2 linked regions of the Caenorhabditis elegans genome follow. The protein of the gene in region 2 interacts with the protein of the main gene of each other region in a pairwise test. Each region holds a gene or a part of one and is shown on either strand. Other genes may lie near its edges.

Region 1 (3,692 bases), on a different chromosome or scaffold from region 2:
TGGATAGTGGACGTGACTTGACGGATAATGGAGAATCAGATGAGGATGAAGAAGATGATGACATTTAGTTTCCAATCGATGGATAAATTATTGCATTTCTATGTTTATATTTCGTATTACTTTGAAATTATTTCTCCTTTCCAATCTATTGCATTTCTTTTCTTGGCTTTCCCTCTTACAATCTCATTTTGCTTTTTGCGGGCACCTATAAACGTGTTTTTAGTCAAAACTCGTTTCTTCTAGTTTTAGTTTGATGCAAATGTAAGGCTTGAGTTTCAAAGTTTTCAAGTTTTCAATAATTCATCTTTATTTTTTATAATCAGGAAGCTGATATCTTACGAGGGCGTAGAAAAAAACGTCGCTTGAAAACAAGGTGCAAGTAATAATTTAAATTTTAAAAAAATCTGAAAAGTCCTACATTCAAATTGATTGCAAAACTACAACTTTCCAAAAAAATTAAGAATTTTCGCCTAAGATTTACTCATTTTCTAGAACTAAATTCCTTTTTAACAAGAGGTTTCAATTTCAGGGCAATTTATCACTGGGCCAAACAGATTCTGTCAGACATTGTGCAAAGATGCTGCGAAGGAGTCTATCATAAGCTTCGAGCTATTCATACTCGAACAAGTGATTAAATACAATAAATTCATTTTCATGCAATAAATTTTTACAATATAAATAAATAAACAATTTACAGTTAGTGATTAGTATTGCAAATTTTTTAATCAGAGATTTGGAAGGCAAAGACGGCGGTAAAGCTGCACGTCTGTAGTCGTCAGTGTGGCACGTTTGGAATGGGCGGAAATGAGTGATGAACCATCGAACATTTGGACCAACAGTGCTTCCGATGCTTCCTGAAGAGCATTGATGGCGTCAGAACGAATGCGAAGGTCTGAGGAAAATGGAGTGGAAGTCTGCATAATTTCGCGGACGAGGCGTGCGAACGGAGCCTGAAATTTGGAATTGTTTAAATGTGGAATGTAGTAAAAAATATATACCTTTGGAATCAGAAGGTCTTCAGATTCTTGGTATTTGCGAATCTCTTCCAATGCCTTCTGGCCCGGTCTATAACGTCTCGTTTTCGAGATTCTGTTCCTTCCGGCTATCATCCGCACGCGATCGGAGCTCGATGAACCAGCTCTACTTCCATTTCTGCCATTTGTACCATCCGTGTCATTACGATTCCCCACATTTATTGGTGACTGATGGTGACTGTTGGCTGCCGTGATTTCTTCATCGGAGCTATCGTGTCGACGGTGTGAGGGCATATCATGACGGCCGTGGGAGTAATCGACAAGATTAGTTGAATTACTGCCGACCTGAAACAAATATTATGTTGTTTGAAATTTCTCACACAAATTTGAAACTAACCGTAATATCCACAGAAGGAGCTCTTCTTCGAGCTTGCTCTAAGTCGTTGAATCCAACAGCCTCAAGGTCGTTCTTATACTGATCCAGAAGAGCGATAAGGTCAGCGTATCCTGTGGCGCTTGTGTTGAAGCCCGGCACTGAAGTGACTCTGAAACACCATACATTAATTTGTAGCACGAAAACAAAAATAATTACCTTTGTGTGTCATGTTGGAGACGTTGCATGATCCTTGCCACCCTCCCATTCTTCTCGGCAATTTCCTCAATAATTGGTCCGTCATCGGCCATTGTTCGAAGATTATCCTGTTAAAATATAAAATTTAAAAAACTGAAGCTAAATTAAGACAATTTGTTTGAAGGTTAAAAGGAATTAAAGAAGCAATAAAAACGAACGCAGTTTAAATAAGGAACGATTGGCGGCAGGAGAACCATTGAAATACGAAAATGGCAAAACATATTTCCGGTGAAAATAATCTGAGAGTCACAAAATCAGCAAAAATTAGAAAATTCTGGAAGAAAAATCAAATTTTCGCACTTTGAAAAGAAAATGCGCAAGTAACACGAGAGATGCGCCAGCCATTTCCGCTTGCGCGGAAGACGATTATCAAAGTAGGTCTAGAAATAATACTTTTAGCTAAACAGGGAACAGGGCTGTTGCAAAAAATAATTTCCGCCCAAAAAACAAAAAACAAAAAAGCGAATTTTTCAAAAAAACCAAAAAGAAATCAAATTTTGATTTCAAACGGAACAAAACGGAAATTTTTCTTGAAATATTCTGTTGATCTTTCATAAAATAATAAAAATTGAATGAACGGAAGGTTTTTTGTTCTTCTTTGTTTATTTGTTGAATCAGTGTTGTAATTTATTTTTTGGTCTTTTTGGTTCCAGAAAACCGGGGAACATTTTAAAGAGACGAACTGTTGAAACTCACGAGTCGATATATATATATATATAAGTACTTCGGTGAGAGAAAATAATTTTTGTATTTAGACCTCAAACGATATATGAAAATTCAGTTCAATTAGGTTACAAAGACACTTTTGAATTCGAAATTCTATTAATTTAAAGGTTGAAGTTGAGTGTTAAAATGAATGTAGGAGCCCAAGCTGAGTTTGGCATTTTCGCTTTATCAAAAATATAAGAAAAAGGATCATAGTAATTTACCGTATTTCCTATATCAGTCTTGCATGCAAGATTTTATTCATACTGCCCTGTTTTGGTAAATTACCAAAAAGTGCGTGGTACATTCGTTTAACACTTCACTTCAACGTTTAAATGAATAGAATTTCAAAGTCAAAAGTCTCTTGGTAACCTAGTTGAAATAAAATTTCATATTCCTAGGGTTTGGACACATTTTTAATTTTACTTACTATTGAGAAAAGATAGGAGTTTCACTTTGAAAAAAAATCACCAAATTTAGAGCCACCTCTTGTTAAAAAGTAATTTAGTTCTAGGAAATGAGTAAATCTTAGTAAATTAGTAAATGAGCCGTTCGATAGTAAACGAGCGGAAGTGAAAACATTAGTAAATGAGCGTCAAAGTAAATGAGCCACCGTTAGTAAATGAGGATTTGGCTTCTCAAATCTCTTTACCTGTATTAACCGAAAAAAGTAAGTTCATGTTCTGAATAAATTTGTCGCTTGAACAATCTTCTTTTTGACCTCGACAGACTGGAATTCTGGAAACCTGAATTATTACTAAAATTTTACGTTCCTAACCGTGTAGCTTGAAGGCTTATTAGTTCCTCCAACCAATGCTAAAAAGTCAGAAGCCGTATTGTATTCATTGCTGATTCATTTAATTTTCTATTATTAAATGACATTTTGAGTCTTCTCAATCTCCCCTGAAAAGCCAATAATAACACATTTCAAGCGTATTCTTTATTAATTGAAAACTAGATGACCATCGAACAGGTAATGTACGTGCGAAGCTAATCTTGTGGTAGATACTAAATATGATTATGGATAAACCGTTTTTAAACTATACATTTAGATTTAGCAAAAATTTGTTCAAGAAGAAGCACCTCATAGACATTTCCTAATTTGTATATTTACTATGATGCTCATTATGAGATCACTTTTTTTGGAGATTTTTTGCTTTGAGATTGCTTTGACGGAAGTTTGAACGTAGGCGTACTCTGCGTGTCTGCAGAAGATCTGAATTTCCGCTTCGATTCGCCATTTGATGGATCGTATACGGAAAATGTAATCCAAATAGGGTAATAAGACGCTAACTTGCTTTGTAATTATGTCTGGAAAAAATAACTTTGACGAAAAATAATACAACAGTCTGAAATTAAGTTTACATAGCCGCCCGGAATAG
Region 2 (2,729 bases):
CAGAAAAGGAAAGAAGAAGGAAGCACCAATTATTGGTAAGTTCAATTTAATTTTGATTAGGACTTTACCAGAATAAAGAAACTGTACTACAATAATATATTTCAGGTGCCAGCTCAGAAAGTGAGGACGATCATGCGGATACCACAAAGAAAAGCGGATCGGATAGCGATTCTGATGAAGAGTACCGAAAGAGAAAACAACAACAAAAGAAACAGATTGTCACCAGTGACGAAGAATCTGACTAAATTTATTTCAATTTTGATCCTCACAATTTTATATTTCGCGAATTCAATATTTCTCCCTTTACAATATTTCGAAAATGTTTTCCTTTCCTTATTTATTTTAGTCTTCGATATTTCGAGATAATGAAACATCCACAATATTATGAAAAACCGAGCTTTTATTTCTTAATTTCAATCAGATTGTATGTAATATTTAAAATCATACATCCACTACGTCTTCCTCGCTTCTCAAAGAATTGGCATCAAGTGTCGTATCATAAATTCTGAAACTTGAAATAATCTACGATTTCAGAATTCTCAAAATCAAACCTCCGTGTTTTATCGTTTTCCATTGCTCTTGGGGAAATCGATACATTTAATATCAACTGAGCTTCTTCTTGATTTCCAGAGCTTCTCGATCGCAGTAAAAACATCAATATAATGATTTGAAAGAAGATTCCATAAATTAAAATTCGAAAAACTATAGGTTTTGACTTTTGATTCCAGAGTATTTTAAACATCTTTGTGGAAAATGTAGGAAATGATTTTTCACGTTTGATAAAGAAACTGACTAATAAATTTTTACATCTAACAACAAATCTTTGAATCAATCATATTATAATATACACGGAACCACTATGTCCGAAAGATTTAAAATTTAAAAAAATTGAAATTGAAAAAAGTATTCATTGAATATTAAAATGGATTTGAGGATATTTGTGGCCCTAAAGAGGGCCGTTGGGTTCGGTTAAGTTTTGAGATTAAGCTTGCTCAACTACCAAAAAAGGTATTTAAGCGCGCTCTCCTCGGATGCGTCTGGCCAATTGGATATCCTTTGGCATGATGGTGACTCGCTTAGCGTGGATGGCACACAAGTTGGTGTCCTCGAAGAGTCCGACAAGGTAAGCCTCGGCAGCCTCCTGAAGAGCCATGACAGCGGAAGATTGGAATCGAAGATCGGTCTTGAAATCCTGAGCAATCTCACGAACAAGGCGCTGGAATGGTGCTCTGCGGATTAGAAGTTCGGTTGATTTCTGGTAACGTCTGATCTCACGAAGAGCGACGGTTCCTGGGCGATAACGATGTGGTTTCTTGACTCCTCCGGAAGCTGGAGCCGATTTGCGGGCAGCTTTGGTGGCCAATTGCTTTCTTGGAGCCTTTCCTCCGGTCGATTTACGGGCGGTTTGCTTGGTACGAGCCATTGCGTTTAGGTTGATAATCCGTGGGGACTGTAAAAAAGAGAAACCAACGACTGCCTTTGTACGCAGCTGCGGTGGGAGGGCGGGCGGGCGCACTTCTGTCCTTGTGGCAATTAGAACATTCGGTGTGTTACAGACAAAGGAAAGGTGTCCTCGCAGAGTGGTGCAATGTGACTCCGCCTAGCCACCACAGCTGTGTACAAAAGGAATACTGTGATGTCATTTCTTCATCTCACTTGTGAGTCTTCAACGAATTCAACAATGTCCGGACGTGGAAAGGGAGGAAAAGGCCTTGGAAAAGGTGGTGCCAAGCGCCATCGCAAAGTTCTCCGTGATAACATCCAAGGTATCACCAAGCCAGCCATTCGCCGTCTCGCCAGAAGAGGAGGAGTCAAGAGAATCTCCGGATTGATCTACGAGGAAACCCGTGGAGTCTTGAAGGTGTTCCTTGAGAACGTCATCCGTGATGCTGTCACCTACTGCGAGCACGCCAAGAGAAAGACCGTCACCGCCATGGACGTCGTCTACGCTCTGAAGCGCCAAGGAAGAACTCTGTACGGATTCGGAGGATAATTATTATCTTTTCTGTTTTCATACAAACCAAATACCGAACCCAACGGCCCTCTTTAGGGCCACAAATATCCAAAATCCTAATTGATCTCGTTAAATAAATCTTAAATAATTTTGATTTTTCTATTTTAGCATTTTCAAATACAAGTTGACATGATATTTTCTTTATTGCTTTGCACAACTACATACTTTTTTTAAATTTAAAATTAGAATTGCATGCAAGTAGACATTCGGTATTCGATTTTCTTCGTTCGTTCTCAATTTTATTTACAAAAGGGTATATGAAAGTCTGCACAGTTTTGTTTCCCGAACCATATGAATTCACTTTATAATTCAAGTTGGTGATCGAAATGATTTAGATATCCAAGAACATGAAGCGGAAGAAAGCTTGAAGCCTGAAAACCAGTGCCTGAATCATATATCTCGCCTGATATCGGAAATCAAGTAATTATTTCATAGCGTTTTTTCAAACTTCTTGTAATTTGATGTAGTAATAGTTTTTCATAACATTTTTCAACCAATTTTGTGAGATGACCCGAGATTTTTCCAACAAGATTGAAAACCGAAAGTTTTTATAAGCCTCGGCCATTAGCTTCCCTTTCTCTGTGCAACTTCATAAACTACGGAAATACAAGTTTTTGGAAATATTCGAAGAATCCCATCTACAATTTGAAAGATAGAATTCCGAAGATGCTTTGAATTTCTCTCTCTGAAAGAATGACTTTTAGAAAATGAATAC

Evidence for each region.
Region 1: the proteins of his-46 (region 2) and cpar-1 interact in a two-hybrid assay, tested with the Caenorhabditis elegans proteins (one large-scale study listed by BioGRID).

The regions. Positions count from the first base shown.
Region 1 is NC_003281.10:9,432,040-9,435,731, reverse strand, and holds cpar-1 (Histone H3-like centromeric protein cpar-1), read right to left. Parts: upstream 1,676-3,692; 5' UTR 1,659-1,675; coding exon 1,567-1,658; intron 1,520-1,566; coding exon 1,372-1,519; intron 1,320-1,371; coding exon 999-1,319; intron 951-998; coding exon 726-950; 3' UTR 632-725; downstream 1-631. Other genes in the region: emb-30 (Abnormal embryogenesis protein 30), read left to right, coding at 1-68. UniProt on the Caenorhabditis elegans protein: Histone H3-like variant which exclusively replaces conventional H3 in the nucleosome core of centromeric chromatin at the inner plate of the kinetochore.
Region 2 is NC_003282.8:11,325,282-11,328,010, reverse strand, and holds his-46 (Histone H4), read left to right. Parts: upstream 1-1,681; coding exon 1,682-1,993; downstream 1,994-2,729. Other genes in the region: leo-1 (RNA polymerase-associated protein LEO1), read left to right, coding at 1-35, 106-245; B0035.21 (Kinesin motor domain-containing protein), read right to left, coding at 442-505, 552-655; his-45 (Histone H3), read right to left, coding at 1,013-1,423. UniProt on the Caenorhabditis elegans protein: Core component of nucleosome. Nucleosomes wrap and compact DNA into chromatin, limiting DNA accessibility to the cellular machineries which require DNA as a template.